Linked DNA regions of Struthio camelus. The protein of the gene in region 2 purifies or fractionates together with the protein of the main gene of each other region. This does not show direct contact. Links are inferred from orthologs where the notes say so. Each region holds a gene or a part of one and is shown on either strand. Other genes may lie near its edges.

Evidence for each region.
Region 1: the proteins of PPP2R2D (region 2) and SERTAD4 purify together in Homo sapiens (affinity purification with mass spectrometry; 3 studies listed by BioGRID and IntAct, counting the BioPlex papers as one, with this or other methods). This does not show direct contact. The link is inferred for Struthio camelus from reciprocal best matches to the Homo sapiens genes PPP2R2D and SERTAD4.

What each region holds. Positions count from the first base shown.
Region 1 is NC_090944.1:113,207,515-113,217,830, reverse strand, and holds the start of SERTAD4 (SERTA domain-containing protein 4), read right to left. Parts: upstream 5,083-10,316; 5' UTR 4,966-5,082; intron 4,601-4,965; 5' UTR 4,585-4,600; coding exon 4,392-4,584; intron 3,972-4,391; coding exon 3,856-3,971; intron 656-3,855; coding exon 1-655.
Region 2 is NC_090948.1:1,115,815-1,126,698, reverse strand, and holds the start of PPP2R2D (serine/threonine-protein phosphatase 2A 55 kDa regulatory subunit B delta isoform), read left to right. Parts: upstream 1-6,769; 5' UTR 6,770-6,915; coding exon 6,916-6,922; intron 6,923-7,141; coding exon 7,142-7,222; intron 7,223-10,884. UniProt on the Homo sapiens protein: Substrate-recognition subunit of protein phosphatase 2A (PP2A) that plays a key role in cell cycle by controlling mitosis entry and exit. Involved in chromosome clustering during late mitosis by mediating dephosphorylation of MKI67.

The DNA.
Region 1 (10,316 bases), on a different chromosome or scaffold from region 2:
TGTCATTACATCCAGTCTCAAAATAATCATAAAATTTGCCTTTACATTCAAGGGCATGGGTGCCTCTTACAGGTTCACAGTTTAGGGTGACGCTGTCTCGGCCAGGTTCATTACCTTCTTTCTCATCATTAAATTTTGCCTTTTCCTGATTACCGTGAGACCTGGCATTAGTGAGGAATATTTCATTAGCAGGTATCTGGTCATCGCTCCTGTACGAAGGGGCACTGCCAATGTCATAATCCACCTGCTGGGAACAGCTTGGCAAGGAAATGGGGGGAGAGGAGGAGGAGGAGGAAGAGGAGGAGGAAGTATTTTCCGTGCTAGCATTAACAGAGTAGGGTAGATTTAAGTAGTGACTGCCGCACTCTTGATAGAAGCAACAGGCGTGAAACTTTTCGTACTCTTCCTTCGCCATCCGAAGCCGTTTTCTGTAGGGACAGTCCTGAGGCACGAACCACTCTTGCGGCGAGGCGCCGCTAAAAGAGCAAGTGGAGAAGCACCAGTTGTTCTGCATGATGATTTCTCCATGGATCCTTTTCATTAAGTTGTTTATGAGGACGGATCTCCGCAGGTAGACTTCAGGATCATCAATGAATTTGAGCTTTTCCAGAGACATGTAAAGGATATGGGCCCGCTCCTCAAACACCGAGATGGTCTGAAAATGCAAAAGATAGAGGATACGCAACTGAAATCCAGGCAAGGAGAAAACAAATGGAGCACAGTATTTTGTCACTTTGGGCCACTACTTTTCTCATTCTGTTACTGCAGCACCTAGAACTGGCTCTGTGGCGCACACCCGTGTAGCTGGGGACTTGCTTTCTGTTGGCCACAAAATTTACCCAGATTTAGGAGATAAGTAGCCTAGTGTTACCCACCGAGAGCTAATAACAGGGCACCAATCCAGGACGTGAGAGCAAAATCCGGACGCACAAATCTAGCTTTTTATTTGCATTCTGGGTTAGACTGTAAAACTGTCGGGCAGCTTTGCTCCAGCGATCCCCGGGGGCTTTTTGATGTAAATAGACCCAATTCTGTCCCCCGTGGGGCTTCGACAAAGCCATGAGCCGAGGCGACGGCTCCCCCCCTGCAGCCCCACCGCTGTGAAAGCTTTGCCGATCCCGGTCGGTGGCCATGGCCCTCGCGCAGCCGGCGCGGGGGCATTTCATCCCCCGCCCGGGGCCCGGGCCCGCCGGTGAGGAGGTCTCTGTTTGCCAGGCTGCCTCGGACTGCTCCTGCGCACCGAAAGCACGCAGGCAGGAAGGCAGGGGGAAGCCAGTCTCAAAGCATCGCCACATCTGGTGAGCAGCTGTCGGCCCGCACGCTGCACCCTGCGTGCTGCGCGCTCGGTGGGAACGCGGGTCGGCAGGGACAAGGTCAGGAAACTAAGAGCGGGTAGGGATTTGAGAAAAGCTTGGCTCTGAGCCCGCGGATTTGTTCTCCCTTCCACGGTCCTCCCAGGACTGCCTTTCTCGGCACTGGCAGCACGAACAGGTTACTGCCCCCAGGAGGCCCTGGCTTCAGCGCTGTAATCGCTACCCTGGGAATCCAAACAGAGAGGGGGTAATGCGTGCTACTGTAAGCAGTATTAACTAATTTTCATTTTTAGTAAGAATTTAGTTTGCGTAGGAGGAGAGAAGCACAGCACAAAGAGAGGCTGCTCTAAATCCCCCCCCCCCCATCCGTGGCTCGATCATTCTTCCCTTTCCCACATGGTTACAGCATTTTTGCAGAGTGGAAGTCGTAGCTATGAGGACTGAAAGAGCTTAAAGCACAGCTGCTTTTCACATCCATTCAGCTCTCCTCAGCCCTCCAGCTCTCTCCACAGCCTGGGCCTGTCTGCAGGCTCAGAAGCAGCACACTGCCTCATAAAAACAAGAATTGGCCGTGTTTGCCATGTGCGTTCCCAGCTGAAACTCTTCTGTGTTAGAAGGAGTAATCTGCTGCAATAAATGATTCACTTTAAATTACATTAAGCCTATAGGTTAATTTGTGTCCTTTATGTTGCATTAATAGCCAGTGAACCCATAAAATCCCTGAGCAAACCCATAAGCCTTGGACTGAGATCCTCCTGGAGATATGTCCTGGAGAGCCACCAGTAGTTACAAGTTGTCAAAGGCCTTCCACTACAAATGCTTTGCCAGCTGTCCTGGAGAGGGGCTCCAGGGCCCTACCGTCATACCCGCCGTGGGAAGAAGTAACCCGAGAACATAGCTCGCTCTTTACTGGGCAGAGGAGGTATAAAAACGTGTAAGGAATTCAAAGAAATCTGGTGGGAATCCTCCCTCCCCCAGAGCTCAGCGCTGCAGAGTAGAAAACGTATCTGTGCCGAAAAGCACAAATCGGTGACCCGAGATTTCTGACATGATACATTTCTACAATAGCACAAAATGATGTCTGAGACAGGTCTATCTTACCAGTACCTCTACAGCTGTTTTTCATGCTATTAAAAAGGAGAAGCAACTGTTCATTTTTAGGAGGCAAATAATCACTGGTACAAAAATCCAACAATCTATTCAAGAAAAGAGTTGGCTGAAATTAGAGAATGATGTGTGTATGAACGTATGTATACACACACACACACACACACACAACATATATATGTACATATATGTATAAATAGAGCACATTTTTCAGCACCTTCTGTGCCATTTATTCATTGTTCTGAAAGCAGATGAAACATCTTCTGGAATTAACGACAGGGCAATTTTTCACCTTCCGGTCAATTATTCACTTCCAGCCAATACTATTTGTAGCTGAAAACTCCTTTGGCTATCCTGAGGTCCTGGGGGAGCGAGCTTGTCACTACTGCTCACTTCTCCTAAGTGAAAATCTCTCCGGAGAAATAGGATCCAAATGGCCAAACCTCCCCAGGAGGTGCCCGTGGTATGAATGAGGCCTGAAATCCCATCTCGTCTCAGAGGCTGCCTCTCCAGGTGGGAACTGCAATGCAAGCGAAGATAATGTAGAAACTCGCTCTGCCTCTTGCTTTGTTTTGGCTTCTGCCTCTGGGGCTCTCATGGTACTACTGCCTTCCCTGAGCAGTGCTTTAATCACATTGTATTATGTCATCTCTATCTCCAATCGTAAACGGATAGCACAGGAGTACCATGGGCCAGGTATGATCCAGTCAGGTAAGGAGGAGGTCTCAAGGTGCAAGCTAGCCTTCAGCACATCAGTGCAGGTGTTCAGTTCCTTACAGGACTGAGCAAGGGCATAAAATCTCTCATAAAAAGTTAGACTTCAATTTATGTATTCACCGGCCTGAGAAGTGTTTGCTCTAGTCCCTCTCTTGAGAGCTTTAATTAAAAAAAATATATTTTTCATTTCCTAATCTGTTCTTTTGTAGTTATTAGCTTTTCTATAAACAGGATTAAATACTGAAGGAGATTGAACTCCCTCTCAAGTCATTCTGTTTCTCTAGAGAAACTCTATACCTGTTTGGGCTATATGGAACCTATTATTATTTTCCCCTCTGTAAAAAGTTTCGAGTGAATGGGGAAACATGCATCCTTCTTATTTACATTGTTCATTTTTGGTGTTTAAACTCTAGAGAACTGTCTCTATAAAGATGATGTAAGCTACTTAAGAGCAAAACTATGTTCTTAAGAACACAAAAGTTATTCTGAGCATTTACATTTACAGTTGTTATAGCTGAAGAAATGCCTTTCCTTCTGAAGCCATTCGATGACAACAAAACAATAAATGCGAACAAGTGAGAACTATTCATTTCTAAGCAAACAGCTGGATCATTCTCCTAATTTCAGTGGAGTATTTCAGCCTTCTGGAAATGGGTCAGTCAAGCGTTACTAAGCATCTGAAACTCGGAGTAAAAATAATGACTACTAGAAAACATACTTTATGTGTACAGCTGCTGAGTGGTGGATGAAAATCCTCTTCTTCCACATATTTCCTTTTAAAGTATGTGATCTTGGGTGTTGTTACAGGATTTGAAATTCCCCTGTAATGTGATCCTGTGGGCAATAAATCAGATATGACAAATGACATGCGGTTTGCCGGAGGTTCTCCAAACAAAATACTTCTCATTTCCCTCTCTCGCTACAGGAGAGCTCCACCACATATTTTCGCATATGTCCGTAGCGATCAAAAGTAAAACCTTCACCTGCCTCACGCACACACCGCGCGCAACGTGCGCTGGCCCGGGCCACCGAGGACCGTCTCAAGGGGCAGCGCTGGCAGGCTCGACACATCCCCCGGCCTGGCGGCTTGGGCAAAACTTTCCTCCCCGCTTTCCAGCCAGCCGGACGAGCGGCTGCGCCGGTCAGGGCGCCCCGGCCGCCCCCGCCGCTCGCTACCAGCGGGTTTCATACACCTGCCCCAAACCCGCCGCCCCCTGCCCCTGCAGCCCGGCCGCCCGGCGCGGCGGTGCCTACCTGCGCCCGGGGCCGGGGCCGGGGCCGGGGCTGCGGCGGGGCCGGGGCCGGGGCCGGGGCCGGGGCCGGGGCCGGGGCGGCCGCAGCAGGGCGGCTCCCAGAGGGCGCGGCAGGCGGCGAGGTCGGCGGCTCCCTCGGCGGCGGCGGCGGCGATGGGGTGGCCCAGCCGCTGCATGGGCAGCACCAGGGTCATCGCGGGCGCCCGGCACCTGGAAGCGAAGCAGCGGCGTCAGCGCCCCGCGCAGCGGCGCCGAGCCGGGCCGAGCCGAGCCGAGCCGGGCCGGGCCGAGCCGGGCCGGGCCGAGCCGAGCCGCCCTCCCGGTGCCCCCGCAGCCCGCCGCCGCCGCGTTTCACCTGCCCGCCCTCCGCCGGGGCTTTCCGCCGCGGCCGGAGCAGATGCATCATGCACACAGGCGGGCACGCGTACGTTGCCAACCTGTTTTTTTTTTTTTTCTTTTTTTCCCCCCTCCCTCCTTGTCGCAAGCAAAAGAGCCGAGCCCCGACCGAGCCCTCCCCACACAGGGCGCGGGGTCCCCCCACTGCCCCCCGGCCCGGCCCGGCACCGCTCACACACCGGCACGGATCCGCTCACTCGCTTCCCATATTCTCCCGGTGGCGTTGGCACAGCGCGCTCGGCACCGGCGGGTGTGTGTGCGTGTGTGTGTGTGTGCGTGTGCGTGTGTGTGCGCGCACACACCAGTTGGGGATTGCGTTTCTTTCTTCTTTCTTCCCTCCCAAACGGAACAGACAGAAGAGACTTAGGTAGTTGTTTCCACTAGCCCCGCTCGGACTGAACTGGATCTGCCTCCAGTCAAAACACTGCGAGACTAAGACAGAAAATTGGCTCCGGTTTCAAGCCGTGAGTTGCAGTCCCGCAGGAGCCAAGCACAACATCGGCGGAGCAAGGCAGAATATTAAACAGGAGCGGGGACCGCAGGGCCAGCGCCGGGCTGCGAGCCGCCTCCTGCCGCCGCCAGCCGGGCCGCGCAGCGCCGCGCAGCGCCGCGCACCGAGCAAACTTTCCGCCAGGGGCCGGGGATGAGTCCAGCGGCACCGGCTCCCCGGCAGAGGCGCGTGGAACAATGCCCCGAGCCGCAGCCTCGCCCCTCCTCCTCCTCCTCTTCCTCCTCCTCTCTCGAAGAAAGCGGGATATAGTTTCCTCCCCGTGCAATCTTCCCGCGGGGGGGACGCAAGGGCCCAAGCGCAGGGCGAGAAGGGGGCCGCAGGTGGGCAAGGTGGAAGCCCGGCGGTTGTTTGCGTTAGCGGCGGAGCTCTGTCTAGTCGGGGGCGGGGGGGGGGGGGGAGAAAAGAAACGGCAGCAGGAGAAGGAGAAGAATAAATCATTCACATCTGCCGGTTGTTTTCTTAAATCCTTGAAGAATGCGCAAGGCTGCTACGTTATTAAGAAACGGTCTTCCAGCACGCACTAACTTTCTGTTCCTGAGCTGCGCGCGTCGCCGGGTCTGCGCTGCGCTCCTCGCTGAGGCAGAGGACGGGAGGCGAATGGGAAGTCAGCTGAAATCCCTGAGCATTTAGCTCGGTGAAGGCCACCAGGCGCCACCGCAAATGCACTAAGAGATGCATAAACCCCTTCCTCATAATCAAATTATTTTCTAGCTTGAACCAGGCTTACAGGCAAGGAAGCACACGTTACACGTGACCCCCGGCCCCTTTTCTCAGAGTAGCGCATTAATGCCATCTTGCTTTTTCTGGAGAAAGAAACGCTGACACGAGGAACCCCAGGCCACCGGACCGGCCCGTTAGGAACGAGCCATGACACAGACAATACACATTGTTCCCTGCCCCTTGGGTTGCCAGCTGAGTGCCGACACATGGAAAGTCTGGTCCAAACCACGAGTGGGTGAGTCGGCTGACCTAAGGAGAAGATCTAAAAAAAAGCCTACAAACTAGCTTAAAAAGTCATAGATTTCGTGCGTGAAAGGATTACACTGTCGTTAGAAAGCACCCGTGGACTCGTCTCATTAATCTGCACTGAGGCATCACTCACAGTCAGACATCAGTCTCCTAATGTTGGCATGATGTCAACATGCAGCATTTGTCCTTAGAGAATAAGGGTTGGAAGAAACTCGCTGCCGCTTGTGGAAAGTCGGTATTTCTTTGCTTGTAATGAATTCAGCATCTCTTTGTGGAAATTTTTTATGAGAATAGCATTGGAGATCTGGACTGTGCATTTTTTTACCATGTTTCATCACAAACAGGTCTTTCTATGCTTAAGCAGAAACACACAGGAAGGAAGGAAGTGTTGGGATGCCTTCTGCACAGCGCTGCTGATTTATCTTGAAAAACTGAGTTCTGTGGACAGCCTGTAAAGTAAATGAACTGCTGCTGCTATTTACAACATGCAAAATTAATAGAGGCAGGCCAGTTCACTTCTATAAACAGCTACTGTCCATGCACATTCTCCATGTTTTCAAATAGAATAAAAACAAAACATAGAGCTTCCTTAGGGGGAAAAAAGAAGGCAACCTCCCCCCCCCCCCAAATTGTAGGTCTCGGCGTGGTGTCACTCAGCTACAAAATAAGCCCCATTTTGTAGCAAAGAAATTGCTTCAGTGCACAGAAGCCGAGAGCCAGTCTTTGAAAAGGGCTTCCGATTCTGGGCATGCGATTTGCTCTTGTTTGATTTTCAGAAGCACTGATTTCCAACTGCTGCAAATGAGTGGGAGGGGAGCTGCGAGTACTCGGCACATCTGAAACATCAGCCTCCTTCCGTGTAAAGTTCGGCACCACGCAACTGCAAGGCTGAAGAGGTCGGTCTTACCGACAGAGTGGTACCGTACCTAACGTCGGCACTCTGCCAGAGCTCCGGCATTACTCCTAAAGAATTAAGATACTGTTTCTCCCCGTTAAGGGTGGCAAAAGCTACTCTTGAATATTTTGCCAAAAGTCACAGAGCAAACCAGCGTCAGAGCTAGAAATAGAACCCAGATCTCATCATCCCCCAGCCACAAGCCCAGCCCATTTGTAGTACATTATTGTATGTAGTGTAGGGATTTCGTCCAAAATCCCATTCATTTCAATGAGACCTTGCAGAACAGCACATGCATTGTTACATTTCCATTAACACCACTGGAAGTAAAGGATGAAAGATGCACGTTTGAGCACACAATACATGTACTATACAAAATTACAGCAAAAGGTTGACACTTAGGGCTGGATTCAATTTTAAGAAATCCATTTGGGAGCCTTGTGTGGGCTTCAGTGGCATGGAAGCCAGGCACAATTTTTTATTGAACCCAGCCCTCAATCCTTAGGCTACCACAGTTTTTCCACTTTGTCAGCCAAACGCATGCAGTGCAAGGACACCCTGAGGCATCTACAGCAGCCTGAAGGTTAAAATGTCAAACTTTTTCCGTATGCGGTTTTGCACAGTACGACTACTATACATTGCTACTCCACTCCATTTGCCGGGGTTTTCACTCACTGTTCCTCCAGAGCCATTATGATGTTAATGAGAGAACTGTAATGATGCCATTCACATTATAACAAGCCTGATGCCGATGTCAGTGAAAAGGGCTCTTTATATAGCTCCAGAATGCCTCTAAAAACCCCAACTTAAATATAAAATGCCTGCTACAATAATGCTGCAGGTCTCACCAAGATCAATAAGGACAAGAGAATAGTCTTAAAGGGGCTATGCCTTTCTTAAGTCCTGGGCTTGTACTTAAGTGCTCTTGAGGTTTCAGTATTTATCATACACCCTGTTCTGGAGTATTTTCATAGCATAACAAGACAACTTAAGGACAGAGCAATGCTTCTTAACTGTACTATATCACTGTGGATCATAGTGCTTAGGAAATATCATTGCCTTCATGTTGGTGGCTGTTACCTTGCTGGTGTTATTTGAAATTCACACTGCAGAAATCCCCCTGTACAAGCCCTGCGCACAAGCAGTGCTTGTCTGCACCCAGGGTCTAAAGAAAGCAAGCGGCATCCAGAGAGAGGAAAGGGAAAGATACTGCACAGAGTGCTGCATATACATGAAAAAAGCAACAACAACATCGCACATAAACAATTCCAGCGTAGCCTCTTTCATAGCTGCCTAGTCTTCACGGTTGCTGCAACAAAGTTGGGTATCACCAATCTATCCGGTGGAGGCTCTGTGGGCAAGAGCAGCGTGGGAAAGGGCCAAAAGGCTCTCCCGCGAGAAGCAGACAAACGCACAGGGACGCCCGCCTCCCCGGTGAACAGCGAGAAGAGCCACGCAGTGGAGACAGTCGTGGGGCAGCAACAACCAAGGCAGAGCTGAGACGGCCTAGAACGGGAAAACAAAGGACTTGACTTGACGCAGGAAAATAAGGAGGAAAGGCAGGAGGCGATTGGCTCGGACCACAGCAATGGGCATGGAAGGAGACGTAAGAGCTTTTGCTTGAGTAGATCAAGCTAGCTGTCATGCCAGAAGTTCAAGGGGGAAGAAGTTACAAGCCTAGATGGGAAATACCAGGGCCTTGATTCAAATGCTTATTGCCTGAATAGATAAGGATGCAGTTACAGAAACATTGTGAGTGAAGCAGCGGAAAACTGGGGCAACTGAGCCACAGTAAATGACCGCCAAGAGTCAAGCAGATCCCTGAATTCAAGGCTCTGGTGGTAACGAGAACAGCAAGATTGCAAGCATTGGGTTAAGTGGGAAACATCTAGAATTGGCTGTGCTGAATGTAAACGGAAAGCTGGACTTCCAAGAGACAGGCCATGGTTTGGGAGCAGACGCAGACAGGCCCGAAGGAAAACAAAGATCTCCTCCATATCTCGATAATACGAACAGGTGAGACGAACTACGGTATTTCAGCACACTGATACGGAGCATTCGCTCCTGAGCAGCGAGCTCCCAGTTTAGCGCCACAGCGGAGAACGAAGAAAGGGCCGGGGCCCCGCGTTCGCCAGAGGCTGGAGTGGAAAAGGGAGTGAGGGTTCCCGATCAACAGTAAACAGAGGAGTCAGTCTGAAGGAGGGAGCCACGTACTTGGTAGAAAAAGAGGAGCAGGGCACCGCTGGAAGGTGCAACGATAACCTGGTACAAAAGGCACGAAGAAGGGAGATGTCAAGCGACCGCAGGGAAGAGGCAGAGGGGAAGGGGGAAATGACGACAGGTGGCAGCAAGTCAGCGCGGACTCTGTGCAGTGATGTTTTTCCATTCTTTCCAATGCATGTTGTATCGGAAACATATATAATACCATTTCACATGAGCATGATACAGGAGTGATGTGAAAGAGTTAAGATCGGGTGAAATATCTAGACTGGTAAAACAACAGGTCTGTGTGCCAACAGGGTCAATTCAGCTCTTCATCCTTCTGAGGTAGATAAACTATAGACCTGCCAAGTCTAGTGTTTTTCCCTGTATTTCTTGGCCCTCACTTGAGGGAAATTCAAGCAATCCTCTGTTGGGATTTTTTTTCTAGGGTTGGACTTACTGTTCAGTGGAAAGGGAATTCACTTGAGATCAGAAATTGATTTGTGAGTCAAGAAATAGCCTTTCCACGAGAGTGTTTCAAAGGTATCTTCACTTTCTTAACTTCTGTCCTAATTTCAATGATACAAATCCAGATGATCTTGTGTCTCTGTCTTTAGATAGAATTTTAAGCAGATGTTTCTCTAACTTCCCTAATTCCCACATATTCGTCTTTTTTCCTTTTCATTCAGTTGAAGTCTTCCCATGAAAATTGTTTGGGTTTACTTTGTTTCAGTTAGTTAGGGTCCCCTGATTTTCTTAGCTAACATTTTTTTTCAGTGAAAAAGGAAAAAAAGAAAATGTACTTTCAAATTCTTAACTTTCCAGTACAAAATTTTAAAGTCTCATTACCACCTTCTCCAGACTATCAGAATAGAAACGGATTGTGTGCTTTGATTTTATTACTTTTTGATATGTTAGAATTAACTGAGAAATAGTTAATTCTACTAGTTGCT
Region 2 (10,884 bases):
GGATAGCATCTCTGCAATGCTAAGGGACTGGAACTGTGCTGAGAAAACCCCTGAAGCGAAACGGCAGAGATTAACCATGGGCAGGACAAAACAACAAACCACTTGTGTCAAAGAAAATAACAACTTTAAAGTTAAGTAAGATGTTTCAAATTAGATTCATCTAATTTGAAACAAGACTTATTTCCTAGCTTTTATGCAAGTAAAGCACCCAAGGCCCAAGAATGCTGTGTAACAAGGAAATCTGTGCATAGAAGGAGCATTTAGGAAAAGTCTTTTAAGGACTTCAAAGGCTTCAGCTGAAGGGGGGAACATATACAAAAGAAACAGCAACAGGAGCAAGATGCTGTGTACCCCCAGCCTTTCGATACCTGCTGACAGTGGTAGGGATACTGCTTTATGAAGAATTGGGACACTTCAAATAAAGAGTTTGTACAGAAAGAAAGGACTTCAGCTAAGTCACAAGAGATTCAACTTGATGGCACTTGAAAAAAAAAAAAACCACACCAAAAAGGTCACCAATGACATTTATATTGAACTACGAAGGAAAGCTGGCAGGTGTGGAAGAACACACAATTCAGTACGATGTTTCTGTGAGGGATGAAGGATTGGAAAGTCTGAACTATCCTTCATTCGAAGATACAGAGGATAGAAACAGTCAGATAGGAAATGGAAGACAAACTCACTGAACTAGGTTACCAAGAAAAGAGGCAACAGTTGTACCTGGGGAAACTGGAACGCTTAGCTTTTAAAGAGCTCGGCTGCGGAGGCACACACCGAAGCTTTGCCGAATGAAGACAAACAGCGGAACGCTTCAGCGCCACAACGAAAAAGACGCAGGAAAAGAACAGGCCACGCTGGTGGCGAAGCAGTGCTAAAGCAAGCATAGAATAAAATGAAGTTAACAAGCCAGCTATCGCAATGAGCGCACACAGAAGTTACAAGCCAAAACATGAAGGCTATAGCACCGATCAAAAGTTCCTGCCTGCCTGCCAGGACAGCGGCAATGCTGACTGCACTACACCAAAGCGTATCCGAGAGTAGAAAATGCAAGGGTAAGGAGAATCATAATTTTCCCAATCTACATGGAGGTAAGGGCCATATCAGGAGATAATCCTCAAAACTAATCCCAGGTGCTACCAACTACTGTTTCATGAAACAGCTAGTTAGCCCGCAACACAAGATGCGATCCCTGGCTCAGTCCCCAGTAACATGCAAGACTTCACTTCAAATCTTACAGTTGAAAAGTGACATGTAATATAGCAACTCTAATACTGTTCAGTCTCCCTACAAGACCCACAAAGACTTAAAATCCATTAAAATTTATGATCAACTTTATAAAGGCAGACTAAAAAAACAAGCTTGTTAGAAGTAGTCTGTGAGGCAACCAAGAGTTAAACCTCTCTTAGGTTGGAAGACGGCTACTTAATTCAACGCACAATGTTCACAGCCAAAGCATACCACCTCTTAGAAAGGCTTGGAAAAAGGCAGGAGAAAGCCAGCATAGCTGAACAGTGTGCTGACAAGGGAGATGTTTGGATAGAAGAAGGTATCCTTTAAAAAGCTCAAGTAATGACCAAATGAGCATGGATCAAACTTCAGGAGACTAAACGCAAAATGCAATAAGGCAGGCCAAAAAGAAAAAATAGCGAGGAAACAGAAGGAATCCAATTATAAATTATAATAATACAATTCTGTTTCTGTCTAGCTAAAGTTTTTCCCCTGTAACGCCAGAAAGCAATTACTGGATCACAGCACGAAAAACACAATAGAGCAGACATTTTCTTCAGTCAGGAGGTGATTCAGCTATCAAAGTGGGGTGGGGTTTTTCTGCGCTATTTTAGGAAAAAAACACTGCTTTTAATTATCTAAAGCTAAGGCTTCCAAGGTTCATTCATCATGACTGGCACCTGCAGCAAAGGTATCTGCAGTTCTCTTTCTTTTTTCCCCTATTCTTTCCTTTTCAAGAACAGCACAAAAGGTGTGAAGTTCATGTGCAGCCAATAATACTGGAAGGTAAGCAGGACAAGAAGTTGTGGCTAGCTAGGGCATGTTTTGCATTTGCAGCATCAAACAGTGAGCAAAGCATATGTCATCATCCCTTCCCTCCTACAAAAGCTACCCAAAATATAAAAAGGAAGAGTGCTGCAGCAGCCAAACTAAAACTGAGAAAAAAAGGTGGTGCTGCTTCTTCCTGAAAGAGCTCCCCTTGCCAGTGAAGCAAATCAGCTGGGGGATAGGCTGGCAGGAGCGGCTGCAACACAGCATGGGAACTTCCGCCCAAGCACGGGACGCACAGGCTGGCAGCAGCTGGGGAGGGCAACGGTGCTGGCTAGAGCACCCGTGTTTGGGGAAAGCAGGAAGCCAGGATAAAAGTTGAACTATAAGTTTTAGGACATCAAGGCTGGATGAGGAGAAAGGGGCTTTAGTGATGCTTGGATTAAAGGACTCTTTGGTAAAGCAAAATAGTCTAAATTATAATATTTGGGAGACATCAGGGTTTGTATAGCTCATGGTTTTGGGAAAGAGGTAAGAGAAGGCATTCCTGTACGCAGGCAGTGGTGGGAAAGATAAGGAGGGCGGACAATTCCTGTAATTAAAGAAAGTTCAATCTGAAGTTTAAGTACTACTAGCCTGAAGTTTGGAATACTTTCATGGGCCGTGTTGATAAACGCATTTTTTTAAAAAATGCAGGTAATAAGGCTAAATACAGGGCTAATAAAATAAAACTAACTCACTAGTTTACTAACTTCTTTCTTTGAAATTTGGAAAAGAGATAAAAAACTATGCAAAAAAATCTTTTTTTTCCACCTAAGAATAATCAGATGTTTTTATGTCAATTAGTACCTAATATGCATCTGTTAGTGAAGTGTGATATCTTATGACACCCAGCTGTCTTTCACTGTATGATAAATGCCATTTCTATGGCTTGCACTGCATTTTTTGAAAATACAAACATACTTTCAGCATGCTTTATTTTCAGAGCGATAGTTATGAAAGAGCAGTATCAAACCCCCAGTGGGGCTCAGGGCTTTGTTTAATCATAAACAGATAATGGGAAATGAGATGAGAAGAACAACTGCTGATGAGTTGGCAACAACATTTCACACCGCATATGTCAGGGGGCATCAAGCAACTGGCTAGGCAAGATACTATTTCAAGAAAACATTTGGAAACATCTCTGTCAGTAGCTTTTCTTGCTAAGTGTGGCAAGAGCAAAGCGTCACTTTCTCCTAAGTGTAACTCTTAAATATGTTACGCTAAACCATTAATCTAAAAATGGCTAATGCAAACACACAGTGCTTTAATTCTGAGAATTATATAAAAATACTACACCCTCCTCTCATCCTATCGCTTGTATAATAACCACTGCCACGAGGCTCCTGTGCATAGTCCAATACCAATACATAGATAGCTGAGCACTGGAAAACATTTTTCAGCAGTTTGATACAAGCGATGAATGCTAGAGTTTTGTAATTCTGGAAAGCATTCCCCAGCCCGTAATATGCAGCCCTCACCTTTTTACCAAAAAACATGACATATACATCTATTTTCAGGTGGAAGCAAGTGAGCAGAGTAACATTTAAGAACATCTCCCATAAATGTCAGAGAATTTTAAACAACTTCATAGACTGCAAACCAACCAGTGGATCGTGAGTGGCTGAATCTTTTTTGAATTTGAGTTCCAAGCTTTAGAAAGCTTACGAGAACTAACTAGTTCCTTGATTTTATGGGATATATTCTTTGAATATAATTAAAAAGAAAGGTATATCCTGCAGAGATATTTTTAACTTTTTTTTTAAATCTTCCTAAATTCCTACGAAGTCTTTTAAAAAAATTCCTGTTCATAAAACCCACACATTAGAATACGAACAAACGTATGCATCCATTTCAGGACGCTAACTAAATTATCAGCTATTTTTATTCCAATCTTCTGATTAGTAGGATATCCTCAAAACAAATTTACCTATGTCAACATTTAAATTAGCTCTCAAATTATGCATACTCATTAATTTACATGAGTTTATGGCATCTAGTTCTCTACAAAAATACATCAGCACACAAAACCTCCAACGCATAGACGTCCAAAAATACTAAGCTAATTAACACAACGTTATATCAGACACTGAGAATCACTGTGGTCAGAAGGGACCTCTGGAGATCATTTAGCCCATGCCCCTGCTTAAAGCAGGGTCACTTTCAAAGTTAGACCTGGCTGCTTAGGGCCTTGCCCAGTCAAGAATTTTTCCAAGGATGGGGATTTCACCACCTCTCTGGCTCCTGGTTCCAGTGTTAGATTGCCCTCCTGAGAAGAACTTTTTTCTTGCATCTAATCTGAATTTCCCTTCCCGCAGCTTGTATCAGTTGACTTTTGTCCTTTGACTCCGCACCACTGAGAAGCATCTGTCCTCTATCTTCTCTACAATCACTCATAAGGCAGTTGAGGACGTCCAAAGCATAGGCACAAGAGCTATCCAACCAACTTTTCTTTTTAAACCATCTTACCATTATAGCTCGCCATAACAACAATAAGACACATAAAATAGGCTATAAACTGTCCCAGTAAAAATACTGATTTTTCACTGATTTTTTGAATTAGCTTTTAAATTGCTCAACAATGCCTAGAAGCTCAGGTCACAGACCTGAATCATGACAAGTAGCTATCATCAAGATTTAAGCAGATTCAAGCCGACAGTGTGACATAAGGTTTTCACTCTCAGTTCAATAATGGAATGAAGCCAGTGTTAACTTCAAGCTGAAATGCCCTTGTGCTTTGAAATCTCTAGTCTGTGATTGAGCTGTATCTATTCAGGTCACAGCATACACAAGTTTTAACTTTTAGTTAAATATGTTTTTATTGGTAATACAAATAAAAGCATCAAGACTGAGTTCCTTTAAACAAAGTTAATACCATTTGGATTTACATTAATGATATACCACATCTCCTTATCTATAGAGTTTTCATACAATATTGTGCCTACCACAGTCTTCATCTTTTAATGCAAAAGTTTCAGGTATCCATAAAATTATAACACAGATATAACATTAATTTCACCTATAAACGTATTTGGATAATCATTATGGGCTGAATGTGCAAGGCAGTCAGAAAACAGAGTCAACTTTCAACAGGTAAGAAATAGTTTTCATAAGAACAGAACTTGTCCAAGAAGTTCTCTCCAGCCCAGAAACTTAATCACAAACAAAAAGCAACTAATAGCCACTTGCCATAAGAGATCACTTTCCTACCCCCACAAATAAACTCTGAGACCCTTAAGTTGAATGCAAAAATATCTTTTTGCAAATCAGTCTCTTTATCAACCACAAAATTAGTCCAGGCTTTGAAGTCACTTTCTGAGGGCCTTGCAGGTGGAAAACTTGTCCACACAGGAGTTAAGGAAAAATAACAAACTAATTTAGATTTCTTCATGCTATTTAGGCTTTAGGGGTTAAAAACTGCATTTTCACAGCTTTCAGTGTGTATACTAGTTTAGAAAAAACAGGTAACGTAAGAAGCCAAAACTAAATGGAGCACCAGTAATATTCATTATTTACAGGACAGAAGAACGCATCTTCAAAGAGAAGCCAGAAAGGGATTCTCACTAAAATCAGGAATTTTAGAGTTCTGCCACATCAAGTGCGCACAGTTATACTCTCTTTAGGAGAGGCCAGATGCGTTTGCTGACACCACCACAGCTGAAAGCATCACAAACCTGACTCCAGAAGGCCAGACGGGGACAGACCTCAGGGGCTGCTGCGCCAGCACATGGCTCAACCCGGCGTTCTCCCAAGCGGCCGGCCGCCTTCACTGCGCGGGCAGAGACACGCGCTCCCTGCGTCCCGTTTTGTTTTCTGGAGGCTCTTCCCAATCTGAGGAGCTGACCTCCACCATCCCAACGCCCTCGCTTCACCCTAACGAAGCGGATCATCCATAACCCAACGGCTTTAGAAGAACCTGCGACCCCTGGGCCAAAAACTACATGCCGCCATTCAGCCGTGACAGAAACCTACCCCTACATACGCCTTTATTTCCTAAGCTGCTTCCAACCTAAGCCCCCTTATCCTTTTCTTTCCTCCTGTTCAAGGAAGCTGATGCTGCTCCTCTCCGGTGCGGCCTTTCATAGCCCTTTTCATTAGGAGACCGGCGCTTTCCAGGTCCGTAGGCCCCTTCCCCAGCGCACCGGAGCGCGGCTTCAGCCCTCCTTCCTTCACCTCGCCCAGCCACGGATCTGCCATCTCACTGGCAGAGGAACCTAAAGAAATGATATGTATGCGTTTAAAACAGAAGTTCTCGTGTTCAACAACAACGTTACTTCCCAGCCCTGAGGACCTCGGCGCCGCCTGCAGCGCCTGCCCCTCCGCAGAAAGCCGCGATTCCTAACGGTAGTTTATAACCCCGAACCCCTCTGTGTGTTGGGGGGGGGTGCGTGGCGGGGGGGCGGCGGAGGTCACATTTCACGACGGGAGGATCCCGTTTCTGAGGGAGAGCGGCGATTCTGAGGCAACTCGTGATTTTTCCAGCCGTCGGTCGCAAGCGCCTTCTCAGGCATCGGGGCTTCCAACCGCCTCCCCCCCCCCCAAGCCGCCGCGCTGGCGACGAGCAGCAGGATCGCCCCAAGAGTTGCCGGCGGCCGCCGGAACCGGGGCAGCCCGGCAGCGCCGGGTGCTTTCCGTCACGGCCGCCGGGGACGGGGTCGGGGACGGAGCCGCGCCCGCCGCCGCCGCCGCCTCAGCCCCGCGCTCGCCCCCGCCCTGCGGGCAGCCGGGCGATGACGTCACCGGATCAGGCCGACCGGCAATGGGCGCCATTTTGAAACGCCGAGCCCTGCAGCGGCGGCAGCTCCGTGCGGCGGCGGCCCCGACCCGCTCCCGGCCGGCGCCTGCCCCCCGCGGCCCCCCGCCTCACCGGCACCGCGCGACATGGCAGGTGAGGAGGGCCGCGCCGCGCCGCCCGGCCCGCGCTGCTGCTGCCGCCGGTGCGGGCAGGGCAGGGCAGGGCAGGGCGGCAGGCCGCGCCGCGCGGACGCGGGCAGCGCGGCCCTGCGCCGGGGCGGCGGGGCTGAGGGGCGCGGCCTGCGCCGGGGCTGGGGCCGGGCCGCGGCTGGGGGCGGCGGGCTCCCTTCACCGAGCTCTTTCCCTTCCCCAGGGGTGGCAGGAGGCGGCGGCAACGATTTCCAGTGGTGCTTCTCCCAGGTGAAGGGGGCTATCGACGAGGACGTGGCGGAAGGTAAGGGCGGCGCCGCCGCGGGCCGAGCCGGGCTGGGCCGGGGGGCCGCGGAGCCGAGGCGGGGGGCGGCCCAGCGGCAGCCGCGCTGCCCTCCCCGCCCGAGGCTCGCGGGACGGGGCGCACCTGGCCGTGACTAAGCTGGTGCCCGCGCCCCGCTCAGGGCAGCATCCCCGAGCAGGCGGGGGGGCTTCCTCCCGGCCGGCAGTCCCTGGGGAGAAGGAGTAACGACGGGGACTAACTGCAAAGGGGGAGGGGGGGAGGAGGAAACCGACCGCACAAATGGAGTCTGTCAGGCTTGCCGAGTTTCGCTCTGAAGCAAGGAGAGAGTGCGTGGCTCCGTCGTGTGGGCTTAACTTAAAAAGTAGGGTTTAAAGGCTCTGGCAGCTGTGAATGGATTTTATTCCTAGTCGTTAGCCTGTGGAAGCTGCCAATAAGGTATTTAAGTAGGAAAAACAGGCACACCTTAACGTTTCTCTGGAACCTACGAAGTGCAACGTGCTTTGGCATGAGTAGAAAACAAGAAATGTTTTACTTGGAAGAAGTATTTTTGTAGTGTGTAGAATTGACACGTGAAGCTCTGCTGGAGTTTGATGAGAACGTTCTCCTTTTTTTCTAAATTTTCCGTGTTTAAACTGTTCAAGTTGGAAATACTTCACTCTTTTCTACACAATATGTGTGTGAAACAGCGTTCTGTGGTATTTATTTAGACTTTTACTATATTAACTGACATTACTTACAATAAAATAAAATACAATAAAAAGTTAAGTTACTTATAGTCTCTGTGTGTGGTCGTCTTGGATTGTAGATTTTTTTGCTGGATGCGGTAAATGTTTTCTCTTACTGTCTACTATAGAGAAATTATTCTGACAGTGTTTTCATTTCCCTGCCACTTGTTTTGACATTCCATTCAAAATAATAGCTATGGGAGGAATAGACTTGGAAACCACTTGAGGAACTAGTGTTCAGTTGAGGTGGTTGTTTTCTTCCCCCCACCCCCCTTTTTTTTCTAAATAGATTTTGAGACGTAATATTATTTTGAAGTTTCCAGATTGCTTATGTAATGAGTTAAGTGGCTTTTATGACTTTCCAAAATGGTCCTTCTGTCTTAATATCTCTCACCTATATTGCTTAAAAGTCGGTTCTCCATGTTAGAATAAATATACTTCTCTGAGCACCTTACTTCCCGGTTACTGCTGAGCAACATGAATTTGTGTAGAGTCAGAAAGCTTCTGCTTTTTGAAACACCAGTGTCTTAAACCCCGTCAGTTAGCAAAGTGTGTAACAGCACTGTTCGGAGAAAAGAAACTTGTGTTACTGAAGAGATGAGTCACAGAGACTGATGAGTTTCTTAGGTTAAAGAGGTGAAAGCTCTATGTTTTGAAAAGTTATGGGGAAAATAGTGCCTCTGGTGTTCAACGATTTTTCTGGGATTTACTCTTGAGTTCTTAGACTTCTTCTGGAGTGAGGGCTGCAGATTATGTGAGGTTATTACGTGTAATTCCATTTACTTCATAGGGCAACTAATGTATGTAATCAGTCAGTGTGTGGTTTTGCAGAATTGGTACTAGGGTTTTGTTTTCCTTCTGGAATATCAGAATCAGTTGTAGTCTTAGTGACTCGCTGTCTATATTCCATTTTTGTTCTTTTCTTCCCTCTATTAGTTTTTGCCTTGAAATAGGAATTAAATGTGGAAACCACACAAAGCTGGTATGTTCATAATTGCCAGAATTTGACTCTGCAATATGCAATAAGAACATGATTCCATTGCTAGATTTTTGCCTTGTTACTGAGATATTGACTAGAACCACTGTGAATTCTGTCTTTTTCTGTCAGCTTGCTATTTTTGTAATTTTATTTCTGTGATTTGGGAAAAAAAATAGCCCTATAAAGGAAGGAAATCTGAAAATGACAACATAAAGTAGCTGTTAAATGCATTAAATACAGACTTTTTGTTTAATGTTCGTATAGACGGTTTATCTAGTGGTTAAAATTACGAAGCCTGACATTTGGACTTAACTAAACTTAACTAAAAAGGTCTCTTCCTTCTGAACTGTTATTCTTGAATACATTTTATACTCAGCAATTGTTTTTCAGAGGTACTGCTTTGATGGAAATATTAGCATGGCTATGACAAATTGATGCCCTTAGATTTGCAACTGCCATCTGCATTCTGAAGATTTTTTCTAAGTAGGTCGTTAATATAGAAAATTACTTTGTCTCTTCTTTGTGTTTTCTGTGTATTGAACCAGTAATCTAGTTATTTAAACACAGCATTGAATAGATTTCAAAGAAGAACAGTGTTTGACATAGCCAGATTGGTCACCTAAAGAGATGAGTAAAATGTATCAGTTATTGAAATATGCAGTTTTTAAAGCAGAAAACTTTGGCTGGATTCAAGGAGCAGGACTAGGGGGGAAAAACAGTTATTGAATGAAATAACTGGTATTGAAAATGGTAACAAATTTCATTTGACCTTGCTTGTGCAGAGGGGTTGGACTAGATGATTTCCAGAGGTCCCTTCCAACCTCAACTGTTCTGTGATTCATTTTAAAAAAAAAAAAAAAAAAAGTAAACTTGTGTTGTAATTATTGTTTGTATAAAAGCATGTGAATACAAACACAATGCTCATAGCCTGTGGAACTTGGGATTGTTATTCTTGGATTACCTATTTTGGTAGAAAGTAGCATTCTAAGTACAGGCTTCAATTTTTTTTTTTTTTTAATGCTGTCTCAGACCTAGTTAGTTTTGTGATTTCGGTGTTTTATCCAATTTGGTCCACATGTTCAAAAAAGTTCTGGTTTTGTGGGTGGGGGAAGGTTGGCAAGCAAAATATCAAACGGTTACCGTTACTTAATGCACGAATATGCCCAAATCCTCTGGGCCAGATGTTCTGCATATAATCTGTAACTACTTCTGGACATAATTAACAACGTGTGTGTGTGCACGCGCACTTGCCCCTGTGTGGGGCTTCTTGGTTTTATAGCGTGCACTGTAAGTCTTCCTAATTATCTTGTGCTATTGACAAGTTGGAAATTCTTGTCAGAACATGAAGCTGTATACTGTGGAGATCTTAGATTTCCTACTGTTGATATTGTAGTTTCTTTGGGTTTTGGTTTTAAACAGCTCCCCCCCTCCACCTTCCCCCAAACGATCTTTATGGGTTTTTGGTTTGTGATGAACTTCTGTAAGTGCTGTTTTAATTCAGTACTGATTAAATATATCTTCCTGTCTCAGATGTGAACAGTTTTAAGAGTGTGATTACCCCACTAAATAAAACGGGTAAAGACTTCAGCTAATGAAGTTCCCCAGATGAAAGCAGTACTTGTTTCAAGTGCTATATTTGAATTTTTTTTGAAGCAGCTGAGTCTGAAGCCTGGTCCTGCGAATAATTGCGGGACATGGTGCTCTTCCTTTGCAGTAGAGAAGAGATGCTGTGAAATCCTGTTCATTAACTTAAGGATGCACCTTTGTAAGGTATTTCATAAGAAAAGAACTCTTTCTCTACCAAAAAGGTTGTAATTGACTTTAAGAGTAGTTGTGCTGTTGTTGGTTTCCTGATCATTAAAAGAGAAACTACAGTTTTTGAAATCTCCAAATTGTAGCTGGCATTTACAGCACTGTTGAACTAAAAGATACCTTGTTTCCCATCCGTTCCACGAATT